2 linked regions of the Notamacropus eugenii genome follow. The protein of the gene in region 2 interacts with the protein of the main gene of each other region in a biochemical or structural test. Links are inferred from orthologs where the notes say so. Each region holds a gene or a part of one and is shown on either strand. Other genes may lie near its edges.

Region 1 (7,412 bases), on a different chromosome or scaffold from region 2:
CTATATACAAATATAATGTTATCTATCTATCTATCTATCTATCTATCTATCTATCTATCTATCTATCCTTCAAATATTTACTGCCCTGAAATAATTTCAAATTCACAGAACATTAAGTACTAGAAGGAACCATCTAATCCAGACTCTATTTTACAGAAGAAGAAATTGAGACTTTCCTTCTCCTCAACCCCACCCCCTCTTCCCAGCCCCTCATGTTTTTCCTCTGAGATTATGTCTTATTTACACTGTAAACATATTGTATGAACACAGATATTTGCACATTGTGTACTCTATTACATTGGGAGTTCCTGAGGAAAGGAACTATATTCTGGCCTTTCTTTGAATCCCCATTACTTAGCACAATGCTTGGCACATAGTAGGTGCTTAATAATTGTTTGCTGCCTGACTAAAGTAATTTTCCCAAGAGCATGTAGATGAAAGACTAGTAATTACAACACTTACACAACACTGTATATTTTCCAAATTACCTAATATCCCATTTGAGCTCCCAGAAGAACTCTGAGAGAGACACTACAGGTATTATTATCTCTATTACACAGAAGTTAACAGAGACTCAGAGGTTAAATGACTTCCCCTCAGTCACAAAGCGAATATGGGGCAGATTCTAACCCAAGCTTTTCTAACTCCAAGTTCAGAGCTCAATTCACTACAACACACTGCCTATAAATCCCATTGTGGAGCACTGACTCTAAGGGCCATAGAAAGGGAAGATTAGTTTCAGCTGCATAAACTGAATAAAGACTCATCATAGAGGAGGCAGGACTTGAGATAGAGGCATGAAGAAAGGAGGAGGAAGGCATGCTAGGTGTGTGTATAAGGGAAACCAACCAGATTGAGGCAGAGAACGTTTTGGAAACAGTGGGAAATAAAGGATGGCTCTGTGATTATGTGATGACTTAAAGTAATGATGATACCTGGAAGAAGTTTGCAAAACCCTTTACTAATATTATCTCATCTTATCCTCACAACAACCCTTGGAGGTAGATATTATTATTAGATGCATTTTATAGATGAGAAAACTGGTGTAGCTGAGGCTGGATTTAAGCTCAAGTTTTCTGACTCCAAGTTCCGTACTCTTATAATTGCTCCAGCAGCTGCCTACAAGATGATAGGACGTCATCCTGTAGATACAGGGATTTATAGGGAATTATTACAAATTCTAGAGCAAGGTAATATCATGAGTATTGGTGAATAGATGTTGCTGAATTGGTCAAAAAAGAGCCTTATTTTTTGTTTGTTTTAAAGGACGATCAACCTAACAATACTATTTGGCATAGACAGGAGAATGGAGAGAATGGGGACAAATTTATAGGCACATCTCAGCACTATCTCTTAATTCAGGCATGCTGGATTGGGGAAGATTTGCCTTAGGACTTGCAACTAGTAAGTGTTTCAACCTATCAGCAGAAAAATCTAACACCTAGTCCAATACTATTTTTCCTGGGGCTGTAAGAAAAAGAAAGGCCATGATTTAGGTTTTGGACATGCTGAATTTCACATTCCAGGTGAGATGCAATGTATACAGCCAGAAATTATTGTATATGAGTTCTGCAAAGACAAGGTTGCTAAAGTCCCAAGTATATTACTGAATGAACATTGTTATATATGTTCTGTCTGGGTAAATCCTCCAACAGAGTAAGTATATCAAGACAAGGCCAAGTTAAGAACGTTGGGGAATTACCCATAAATCAAGGGACTGGAGGAAGATGTGTTAGTAAAGGAGACAGAAATAGGAGGTGGAATATTCAGTGCCAAATGCTGGTTTCACTTCATATCAAGTACAGTATACCAATAGGTCTCAATAACTGGTTTGCTTAATTAATTCCTGTCATTTCTACAACCACAATCTCTCCTACTCATTTCCTCCAACATTCCTAAAGTTATACCACCCTCATCTAAGCCCTAATTACTACTCCTGAAATAATGTAATGAATGAATATCACAGGTCATCTAGATGGTCCAGCTGATAGAGTGCCCTGTCTGGAATCTTTCTGAGTTCAAATCTGATGACACTTTCTAGCTGTGTGATCCTGGGCAAGTCACTTAATTCTACCTCAGTTTCCTCATCTTGTAAAATGAGCCGGAGAAGGAAATGGCAAGTATCTTTGCCAAGAAAACCCCAAATGGGGACAATAATGAAGAACAACCCTTATCATAAACCAGGAAATTTTCACTTTTACAATGTACTTGATAAATTCTTGAATCGTTATGATTCATTCAATTCAGAATAACATCAGAAATATTTTAGCAAAAGCTGAATAGTATACAGGGTATACTATTAAAGAAGTACGATGCTCGAGAGAACTATATTTGACTTCTAATTCCAAATATTCGAGGTTTAAAACTCCATCCTTTACTCTCCACCCCAGTGGATGATCAGATCAAAATTCGGAGGCATCAGGGAATGAGGAGCGAGAAATTGCAGCTGGACAGAAACCTTCCTAGCCCAAGGATTCAGAGGCGCGTGGTGAAGGCACACACACACAGCGACGATGGAGGAGGGCTTCGCTACAAGATGCCAACCCCAGAATGCCAATTCCAAAGCTCCAAGCGCTCACAAGCCCCTCAGTTCAGTAAAGGGGCCCTGGGCTGGAAGAGACCCCTGAGGCCCAGACCCAACCACCCCCAAGGCCCTCCAGGGCAGCGATCCTCCCTCCACCTTTTCTCCGGGGGAGCTGCCTCCCTGCACCTGCCTGCCACCCCCGAGGCTCCGGTTCTGCCCTTGGGGGGCGGGGGCATGCAGAAGAGAAGTCTGCCGGAGGGAGTGGGGCAGGCGGAGGAGGACCACGTGGAGCAATCCCTCGGGGGGTGCTGACTAACGCCCCGAAATCGCCCCTCAGCCCCCGCGGTGGTTCGTAGCCTCCTTACTCACCGCAGACTCCCGGCGTGAGGCAAGCCAACAAGCCCCAGAGGAGCTGCGCGGCACCCATGCCGGTCGCCAGAGCCAGGTCTCGAGGTCTGACCGCGAGGAGCGGCCAGGTGCAAGGCGAGATGCTCGGATCCCCGGGACACTCGTTGCGCCGCGTCTCATTTAAATTGAGGCTGCACCTGGCGCGAGGCCAGACCACAGACTCCCCCTCTTTCTCATCCTCCTCCCCCGCAGGGGCGCGTGGCGGAGACGGCTGGGATTGGCTCTCTCCTGGAAGGGACCTGGCCAACCAGAAGCTGGCGCTGCTTGGCTTGGCTTGCTCCGCTAGCTGAAGTTTGAGCAGCAGCTCCTTTCTGTGCTTGATGTCTCCTCCGAGCCAGGCTTCTTCGGGAGCTTCTTTTGGGAAGATACCGCAGAGTCTGCAAAGTCTTGCTCTCGACGGAATCATTTCAGAGTGATCTGCCCTAACTTAGTGGCAGGGCTTGACCTCCCAAGACTGCAGACCACCCCTTTAGACTCTGCACAGTATTCTGTGTACCCATGGTATAAAATCAAGATAATTAGGGATAGGGACACTGGATTTCATTGATATGGGAGAAACTTCCCTCCCCCAATGCAGATTGGCACCTTCTCCTCCACTTAGAAAATTCAACCCTGAGAGAAGTTAAGTGATTTGACTTGGGTCACGCAACATGAAAAGAGCAGACTTGAACCAGGTCTCTCCCCTGGTTTGTGCCCCACGGGAGTCCGAACACTCCCAAATTCTTCCTGCACCAGATTAAAATGTAAAATAACATTTACAATATTACAAAATAAATAGAAATGACAATAAAACAGATAATGGTAATATATGGTTTTCTGTGGCAACGTACAGCCTACAGGGATTCTCACGTATGGCTTAGCGTTCCTGGTTTCCATTTGTGTTTGACACTACTGCATTACACCATATTTCCTCTCAATATAATTATGTAGTTATTCAACTAGCATTTATGAGCTCTTTGTATGTCATTGTTCTAAGTTCTATTTTAATGTATTTTTTTTAAAAATGCATGGGTTCCTTGGAGAATAAACTGAACTTGGACTCAGAGGTCCTGGGTGCAAATATACCACTTACTAATTGTGTGTCTTGGAGTGTTTAATTTGGAGTCAAAGGACCAGAATTTGATTCTTGGCTCTTACTTACATGACCTTGATCATGATGCTTGACTTTTCTGGGCCTCTGCTTCCTTATTTGTAAAATGAGGAGAGTGCTTCTAACCTCTGTGATCTTTTCCAGTTCTAGACGCATGATCCTGACATGTCGTAGCCCAGGTGTGTTTTAACCACTCTATGTCAGTTTCTTTATTTGTAAAATAAAGGGATTGGAGCAGATGATATCAAGGGTCCCTTCCAGCTAAAAATCTATGGTCCCTTAATCAGTGAATCTCCACTGAAGTCCTACACAGAAGTTCTTCATCATACTGTGAAGGTGAAGCTGGGTCCTTAAAGACTAGGGGGTTTGGGGGAAATGGGAAAGGGCAATGGACAAGTCGGAAAGGCTTTGAGAACAGTCACCAGAAAGACTGTGTCTTTCATATTCAGAGCAGGCTTATCCTTCAGAAGGTTAGTCACCAGGTGACAAGTTCCTTTGACCACAATAGCTCATGAAGACTGTCTACTGAGGCATAGTTAGGTTAAGATCTGAGTGGGTAGAGGAAGTGAAAGTACAGAATTCTGAAATGTTCAAGTAGGTATGTGTCGAGATTGCAGATATTCACAGGGAAGAAAGCATGTAACTGGAAATCAAGAAACAGATTCAAGTCCAGCCTTTGTTACTTCCTAGTTGTGTGACTTTCAGTTCATTGAATCAATCAACAAGTATTTTTTAACTGCTTGCTGAAGACACTGTGCTGGGTGCCGTTAGTACAATTGAAGAGTGAAGCAAACTCTGCCCTCAGAGTAGGAGATGCAGTGGGCTCCTTGCTAGACAAAGGGGGTATGCTCAAAAGGCTTCTCAGGGCATCTCCATGTTATAACTGGGCATGCCTAGAAATGCCCAGTTACAGTTATAAAACAAGGTGGCTACCAAATGTGTATTTAAATGATTGAGGTACTCTTAATTCTTATAGAAAAATTATATCAACAGAAAGTTTTTATTTTCATTAAAATATCTGGAGTATATAGATACAGGATCTGACATAATTTTAAGACTAGAATTTAATAGGAAGGAATAAAGTGGAATCTGAGGTAAATAAAAGATGGGATGTAAGTACACACATCATTAAGATCACAGATCCATGGAAGTATCGAAATATATTGGATTTATACAGACAGAATGCTTTATTTTGGAACAAGACTGATTCAGGAAAAATGAAATGCCATGAGAAAACAGACTTGGAAGCCATCTAAAATAGATTTAGCTTCCATCTTGGAAAACCAACAGAGGTTACCTAAATGGGTATTTATAGAATCCAGGAAATTAGCAAAGAGCCAGATATTTCAAAAGCTTAGATCTTAGTGAAGAATTGAGTCTATTGTTAACAGGGAAAGAAAGTGAATGGGGGGGGGAGGTGTACGGAATTTTCCATTAAAAACATTGGAATGAAATGTGACTTGAAATTTAAGGCTCTTTATGTCAGGAAAGACTTTACTTTGCCTGTAGGAGCAAGGGATTGGGACTAAGATTCTTCTCAAAAGGCAAAGGTCAAACATTAGGTTATTGAGGAAAAAGGAAAAAGTCTACTGCTACTGAATATGATGTTCTTCTCTGTCTTCATAATGGTCCAGGAAAAAAGAATCAAATTGTGCCAGCCTTTTTAAAAACATTAATACATTTAGGCTCTTCTTAGGTTTTATTACCAGAAACAAATATCATCATTTCCTTCTGATAGGAAGACAGGTAGATGGATAGATGGATGGATGGATGGACAGATGGACAGATGGATGGATGGATAGACACACAATTAAGTAGAGAAATAGATGAACACATACTTACACACATACATGGATGGATAGATAGAACATTTATTAAGCACCTAGCATGTGTAAGGAACTGTGCTAAGCACTGAGGGTACAAAAAGAAGCAAACAACATGGTCCCTACACTCAAGGAACTTACATTTTCCCATAGAAATTTTTATAACTACTAATTATTGTCCCAGGCCAGCTCATCATTTCATTTGCAGAAGAGGTTCCTAAATCAATTAGGCCTAGACAGATCCTAAGACTTCTGTTTGTTGCCTACAAAGCCTACTCAACCCATCTTTTCAGAACCTGTGATTCCATTGATGTAGGATGTGTAGACTCTCTCCATAAATGCAGATTGGGAGGCAACTCACCTGTAACTCAGCATCATAGAGTTGTCTAGGATACAGCAAATGACTCGCCTACGTGGGTCAGGGGTAAGATCTGAAATCAAATGTTCCAGACCCCAAGGCATGCCACTTATCAACTATGTTATGCTGCCTCACATTTTAATCACAACGCAAAATTACTGAAATAACATCGAATCCTACCTGGTAACTTCAGTGACTTGGTACCCAGCCACAGACCTTGACACAAGAGACAGCTATGGTAAAGGGAAAGAACACTTTGAGAAGATCTGAGTTTGACTTCTGCTTGGATAATCCTGGTCAAATCATTGAATATCAATGAATCTAAGATTGACCTCACTCCCAGGCCATCCCCATGCCATGCTATCTGCTCTCTAGACTCCACTTTCAGTCTGCAACTTCAGCTCCCACCCTTGTGGTTCTGAACTCTGATGGATGAACATTCATTCACCTGATCTTGCCCCGTCTCTGGCGATCACTTTCTGACCATCTCCATACCATACTGTCCCTTCTCTCACATGCTGCCTTCCTATTCTAGCTCTGAGAACATTATCAAATCAACACTACCATTCTTGGAAAGGACATAGCAATCATTTGCCATATGACTACAATTACCACTCCTTCAGAATTCCCCATCCCAACACTCTTCCCTGGCCATCATTCTCTTTTATTGATTGCCTTGCTAGATAAGAGGACAGGGACTGATTTACTTATGCATTTGTATTCTCAGAGCTGAATACAGTGCCTGGAACATAATCAGTACTAAATTAGTGCTTTTTCTTTCATTCATCCATAGAAAAAAAATAATAATCTTGTATCACCAATCTCAAAAGGTGCTTTACAGAAAGTTTCTATAAATCTTAAAATGCTATATAAATATAAGCAATTCTTGGGCTCAGTAATTTGAAATCAGACCATTTAAAGGCAAATGGAGAACAGAGGAATTAATTCAAGGACCTCAGGCTATCAGGAAATACTTTTGGAGAGGGCATACATTGAATGTCTAGCCTTTCCCAGCTCCAATTCATCCTGTATACCTCTCTAATACTATTAATATTCATAATTCACAGGTTTTATCATGTTACTCCTCTCCTCAAATCCTTCAACGGCTCTCCATTGTCTATAGAATAAAGTCCAACCTTAGACAAGTATTCAAGACCCTGGGCAATATAGTGCCAACATAGCTTTCCAATCTTGCACTATATCTTTCTG
Region 2 (7,304 bases):
TTTTTGTTAGCTGAATAGTGGATCTGGGACATACATCTTTCATTATTCTCTTGTGTTTTTAATTCTGTAGAATTTTTAAAGAAGGGCTATTCCTTCATGGAAACTTGTAAAAAGTGTAGCTGTCAAGGATCACACTTCAATAACTATTAAAAGTATTGATGACAGGGGTATGGGAAAGTCATGCATTTCAAGCATTTTTCAAATCCACAAGAAATAAGAGCAGTCTCAACAAAGCACAAATGGTAGTGAAGTCCAAATGAAAAATAATGCTAACAGCTGACAAAATGTTGCTGTAAAATAACTTGATTATTCCTCAGAAAATAAGTAAAAAGCTTTGTAGGAATCTCTTGACTAAAAGGATTGTTTTCAATCTTTCTATAGTATGGTGTAGACTTTTTTTAAAGTTGGAAGAACAGTGAAAATCAGTTGCTAACTCTTACTGTCAGTAAAAAATGCTTTTCATGAGCAAAACCATATAAAGACTAATGTACTAAAGATTAGAAAATGTTAATTTTTTACTAATGAACTTATTTTTTCATTCAAGGTCTTTTAATTCCAAATCATTTTCAGAAGTCCAGATAAGCTTGCAAGATCTGGCCATCTTCATCAGACTGTAAAACATTCACTTCCAAAAATACTTGAGGGATTATTTTACATTCAGTAAGCCTAGAAGTTTTGTCCCAACTGAAGAAAATAATAAACTCTGATAATTCTATTGACATACTAGCAAATAGAATTGCTTTGATATTACAGGAATTCCTCAATAGCAATGCAAACTTGTGTCATGCCACAGGTCATGAAAAGCTAAGAAATTTATTCAGAAACTGGAGAGAAATATGCTTCAGTTCCCAAGAACTTGTTTAATTTAAGACCTAGCAAGAATCTGTAGGCTATAATCGAGGCTAGATTTAAAAAAAATGATTATTTTACAATTTATATCTAATTCATAAGTATGTTTTCATGAATTAAGAATTCAAGATTATACAGATGAACTCAATGCTAAATTACATGTAACAAAGACTCACAAGAAATGGAGGACATCTTACACATTAAATATTTTTGAAAGACATAAAAGTCTTAAGACATCATATGCCAGGAAATGTAATTACCCAATTAATGAGTATACCACTGTAAGCAAAACCACTTATACAGATGGGTATGCAGTCCCTGAACTCATAGTCCTCTGCTTCTGTGCAAAATGGAGTGAAATGAGCAAAAAATATTTCACTGTGATCTATATGTGGACACCTTAGGAGGATATAAAACAAACAGGTGATCTCATGAAAGAGTTCCCAGACTTTCTTCCCAGTATTTAGTGTTTACTTTAAATCAAACTAAGCAAGCAGTATTCCATGGGTTTCCCCAAAGTGGGGTGGACTGAGAGATTCTCAAGAGACAGCTTTTGAAAATGGCCCCATATACTGCCTATTTTGATAAAGCGCCAACATAATCCTTCCTTTGACTTCTTGGAAACTGGGGTGTCAGATTACCAGAGCTAGATAAATAGAACTTCTCTGATCATCTCACTCTCTTGTTAGAGGAAAAGTTTTTGGACAGAGATTGAATCTAGAGAAACAATTCAACATCACTGATAAATATGACCTCATATGTTGAGTCTGAACTCTTAGAAGAGGCAACCATCACATGGGATCACCTGGTGGAAATGAAGACTCAGGGAGAAGGATCCCAATTAGCATGTACCTGGTTCTCCTTTTTCTCCCTTGAGCCCATCTCTTCCATCTTTTCCAGGAGCCCCATTTGCCCCAGGGGTACCACAAGAGACCACGGAGCAGCAGGTCTGCTCGGTCGTCTCACTCAAAATTGGCTCTGAGTAGACAGCCATGATGATGAGGAGGAGTGGGAACCAGGAAAAGTCAATCATTCTTCAAACCTTGGAAGGGTAGAAACTTGAGGTCAATTGATTTAGAAAGAAAAATGGCAGGGATTTTCAACCAGCCTCACTCTTATCCTTCTTGCTATTGTCTCCTCCTGGTGGTGCTGCCACCAGCTGTCTCTTTTCCCTCCAAAACAGCCAGTTTCACTGCTTTGGATCCTGTCAGTCTCTTGTTTTATTGTGTTTTATTGACTCCCCATTGTCTTCAAGATTAATCAATCCAAACTGATTTGGAAATCATTATACAAGGGAGTCCCCACCCTAATTATCCTGACTTCTTTCCCATTCTGTCTGAATGAGAACTCTCCATTAAAGACAGACACATCTCTTGCCTTTCCAACCCATATGATGTATACTCATTACCCTCACTGCCCAGATTAGTCTGACTGCTTTCTTCTACATGCCCTCTATTTCCTAGGATCCTCTATAGTGCCTAGCACAGGACTGGACATACAAAATTAATAATAAAATAAAATTTTAAAAATCTTGATATACAAAATCCTTCCCTCTCTCCTTCCCTTCCTCTGTCCCTCTCTTCCTCCCTTCCTCCCTCCCTTCCTTCCTTCCCTCCCTTCCTCCCTCCATCCCTCCCTTCCTTTCTTCCTTTCCATCTCTTCTCCCTTTTTCTTACTTTGTTCATTCCCACCTATGGTTCAAACCTGCAAAAAGTTTTGTAAATCTTGTTTGTCCTTGCCAGGAAGTCCACAGGGTGAGGGTGGGAAAGTTGCTAACCCTTCAGTAGGAGACCAAATAATTCTATGTCCCTTTTTATTTTGCCTGAACCAGATCTGGCCTATTTCTAAAGAATGCCATACTTCCAAAGGAACCAAGGGACCTAAAAGGAGATGAGGAATATCAAAATAGAAAGACCTTTAATCATAACTCTAGTTGATTGAAACATTGCCTGAAAATCTATTGGAAAGTCCCTTTCCTGGAATCAAGTTAAACATACAGATCTTTGACCCCAGTTCCACAGGCTGTATTTCTGATCAGAAACTTACCTGACATACAACAGGAAAGAGATAACAGAACAGAGTGTCCTCTAGTTTAACCCAGAGAAGACGGGAAGAGGCTGGATTCAACAAGATATAAAGAATCACTCTGTTTACATGGTAGAGGTCTGTCCTTGTTTTGCTTCCACAGATTAATAAGCAACTGAATCAAATATCCAGCTGTTATTCTCATTGCTCCCAATGGATAATGACAGATTGAGACAGAATCACAGAGACAGAATTTCAGAGCCTGCAACACATACCTAAAAATGAGTTCCCTCAACAACATACTTGAAAAGTGGTTAGTTAGCTTTTCATGAAGACCTTCAATGAAGGGAAGTCCTTTATTGCCCAAGACAGTCCATTGCATTTTTTAGTAACATACTATTAGTAAACTTTTCCTAACTCTTCTCTCTGGGATCAGTCTAAGCTTCCACATGACAGTCTTTTTTGTGTAACAAATAAATAACTATCCCATACCTGATTCCTATTTCCACCTTTGGGGAGACCCTAGATGAGATGAATCTGAGCCAAAACTAAAAACTTTAAATGCTAGAGTGGGGTACAAAATGAACCAAAGAGTATGAGAAATGGGATTCTAACTTCTCTCATTAGAGGCAGGGTTTTCCAAGGCTGATGCTGTTTGGACCATGTGCACAGGTCCATAGGGGTCCCTTAGTGCAAAAAAGAGAAAATGCTATGCCCAAACCTGGGGGCTCCAACCCTAGGTTGTTAATGTTAAATTGTGAATTTAACAAACCATAAAGGAACATGAACATTTCTATGTACAAAGAACAAAAAAGAGGATGGTGTAGGAAACTGTGAACTGTTACGTATGTTTTCAAAGTATATATTAAATTTAACACAATAACAACAAAACTTCCTGCTATTAAGCTATTATCCCTATTAACCTATGTATCTTTCTCTCTTCTATGTTTATTTTTAGGGCTTCATTGATGGACTTTTCTTTCTTTTCTTATATTTTTTATCACTGCCCCCACCGCCCCACTTCTCTATGTACTACCAAAGCCCTTTCTTGTAAACAGTAAGTATAGCCCATCAAAATAAAACAAGACAACTTTTTTTGAGAAATTTGCTCCAAAGATTCCACCCAGTGAGCTGTTTCCTTAATAATTCTAACTTGAATAATCAAAACTTTTTTTGGTGCAAGTTCTCAGTTTTAAGGAACAACAAATGTCTATTTTTAATCTTTTATGATCACCTCTAATCCTTGTTTAATTAAGAATTCTTCCTTCTATTCATGGTTTTGAAAGGTATATATTTCTTTCCTCTTTCTTCTCTGGTTTACAATATAACCTTTTATATTCATATTTTAAGTCATATAACCCTTTGGAGCTTATTGTTATACATAACGTGAACTGTGACTTTTAGGACAGGATCTTTTCTTGGATTTTGACTTCTAAACTTCTAGGTGTTTTGACTGCCTCTTTTCTTCTTATGAGGTAGCTATTTTCTACAGTATCTACACTGGTGAATATCAACCAGTTTTTATTTCCCTCTTTTCAGTTTACAGCCCTTTAGATTAGACTTAAAAGAAGTAACATGGTATAGTGGACAGAGAACTAGCCTCAAAGTCAAGCAGACCCAAAATCAAATCCGGCCTCTGATACATAACTGGCTATGCGACTCTGGACAAGTCACTTAACTAGAGCATGGACTCTAAGCAATTCTCCAAGACCCTAAATTACAAATAAGGTGCTGACCTGCACTGATAGAAGGAATTTCATCACCTGGGAGTTCCCTATACCAATGAGATCACAGGTGGAATACCTCTCTCCTTTGAATAGACTCTCAATACCCTAGCCAAATCGAGTGAGTTCTTGTTAGGTGTATGTCTGGCCTGAAGCCTCTCATTCCTATTTGTTAAGCTTTGGTCTAAAAACCCCATTCAAATTCTGGGATACGATCATCTTTCATTATACCACACACACATATATTTAGCTTTTATTTATTATTTTATTTTTCCCCAGTTGCATCAAATTTTTTTAACATTTGTTTTTAAAACTATGAGTTTAAAACTTTTGTTTTACAACTTTTAAAAAAACTTTGAGTTCCAAATTCTTTCCCTTCCTTTCCCACTCATAGAAAAGGCAAGCAATCGAATATAGGCAAAACATATCCATAATAGTCACGTTGTGAAAGAAAACATACACAAAAAACTCAAGAAAAATAAAGTTAAAAAGTATACTTCAATCTGTATTCAGACATTATCAGTTCTTTCTCTGGGGATGGATAGCATTTTTCATCATCAGTCCTTCAGAGTTGTCCTGGATTGCTGTATTCTGAGAATAGCTAAGTCATTCACAGCTGATTATCTTACAATATTGCTATTACTTTGTACACCATGCATTTTACTTTGCATCAACTCATGCAAGTCTTTCCAGATTTTTCAGAGAGCATCCTGGTTATCATTTCTTATAGTACAAAAGTATTCCATTGTAATCACCTACTACAACTTGTTCAGGCATTCCCCAACTGATGGGCTTTTTCTTGACTTTTAATTCTTTAGTCCCAGAAGAGAGGTGCCATGAATATTGTGTGCATATAGGTGATTTTCCCTGTTTTTAAAATCTTTTTTGATCTACAGACCTAGTAGTGGTATTGCTAGGTCAAAGGGTATGCATGGTTTTATAGCCCTTTGGGCATATTTCCAAATTGCTCTATGAAATATTTGAATCAGGTCACAACTCCACCAACAATACATTAATGTCCCTCCAACATTTGTCATTTACCTTTTCTGTCCTGATAGTCAATCTAATAGATATGAGGTAGTACCTCAGAATTGTTTTAATTTGTATTTCTCCAGTCAGTAGTGGCTTAAAGTATGTTTTCATATGACTATAGACACTTTGGGATCTTTCAAAGACTGAAGTCAAATGACTTTGGTTCAAAACTTACCTCTGCTATTTATTATTTGTGTGACCCTGGGTAAATCACTTAACATCACTGAGTCTCAATTTCTTCATTATTAAATAAAGGGGTTGAACTCTACATGGTCTCTCTTTAAAACCTACATACATGACCAAAGGAACTGTGTTCCCTATAGAGCTGAGGAAGGAAAGTGGTAGCCTGCTTTGGGGAATTCAGATACCATCATTCTTTCAGACTATGGTTATCTTTTTCTTTCTTCTTCCCCTCCTGGACCACTAGTTCAGGAAAAGCACCAGCCATTCTTTAATTCACTCCCAACTCTGTCTCCTCCATAGACTTGCCTGCTACCTTCCCTCCTTCTGTCCTTCCCTACAGTTTTCCTTTTCTTTCTCCCCTCCTCCCTCAAAGATGTGTAACTATTAAACATGATCATATCAACTGTTCTAGTGTTCTTGTGTTGGATGTGCCGATTTATTCCCCTGTGACCTCAGTCTATTCATCATCCTTAAAAATTTCTGGACCAAAGCATTCCTCTCTGTTCACTACTCTTTGTGTGTTGCCTCCTTCATTAGATTATAAGAACCTTAAAGGTCTTCACATTCCATTTTTGTATTTCCAGCACATTGCATTGTGCTTGGCACATAGTAAGTGCTAAATAAATGACTTTTTACTCATTGATTCATATATGTCCATATTTCATTGAGCAACCTTTCATAAGAAGTTTAACTTCTTCTCTATAGGAAGAACTTAAAACTGATTGTATTTCAATACCAGAAAGAAGTTGACCTTTAAAGATAAGACATTCTTTCCTCCCTTCCTCTTCTCCATCCTATACATTTTTATATCTATAACAGCATTCTATGGTTTCTTTAATTGAAAGGCTCTTAACTGAGCAACAAAATAAAAAAATAAGTCCTGTTTCTCTCATCTCTCCTTCAAGTCAAGTGCTCCCTCTGGTGGTCTCCCAAGAGGCTCTTGGATTTGTTGCATACAGGTGTATCGATGGTTCTCCTCTACAACAGTTTCATCCTGTGTTTTTTTTCCCCACCAGAACTGTGTAGGGAGATCCTGGTGAGGCATTCCCTCTATAACTGCAGATAGGTATTTTCCATGCAACTAATAGTATTAAAAATTTGAGATTTGAACTACTCAGTATCATACAGATAGTTTGTTGTATATTTTTAAAATTAAATTTTATCTTTTCAATTTACAAAAATACATTTTTCTCCATTCTACCTTCCTCCTCCTCATTAAAAGACAACTCCAACAGAATAAAATCCTTCTAGCAAATACAATAGTGAAAGAATTTCCTCCACTGATCATTCTAAAAAGATATATATGTGTGTATACACACATATGTGTATGTGTGTATACACATACATACATGCATAAACATATATAAATACATATACCCATACATACATTTATATACTTTGATCTCTGCCTTGAATTCATCACCTCTCCACAGCCAATATTTATTAGCAGTACAACTTGAAATCAGTTCTATTTGATGCTGAAGCCAAATC

Evidence for each region.
Region 1: the proteins of MBL2 (region 2) and complement receptor type 1-like interact in a biophysical measurement, tested with the Homo sapiens proteins (2 studies listed by IntAct). The link is inferred for Notamacropus eugenii from reciprocal best matches to the Homo sapiens genes MBL2 and CR1.

The regions. Positions count from the first base shown.
Region 1 is NC_092873.1:431,677,964-431,685,375, forward strand, and holds the start of complement receptor type 1-like, read right to left. Parts: upstream 3,017-7,412; 5' UTR 2,952-3,016; coding exon 2,894-2,951; intron 1-2,893.
Region 2 is NC_092872.1:227,507,345-227,514,648, forward strand, and holds the start of MBL2 (mannose-binding protein C), read right to left. Parts: upstream 3,002-7,304; 5' UTR 2,896-3,001; intron 2,753-2,895; exon of another isoform or gene 2,526-2,752; intron 1,892-2,525; 5' UTR 1,883-1,891; coding exon 1,702-1,882; intron 1-1,701. UniProt on the Homo sapiens protein: Calcium-dependent lectin involved in innate immune defense. Binds mannose, fucose and N-acetylglucosamine on different microorganisms and activates the lectin complement pathway.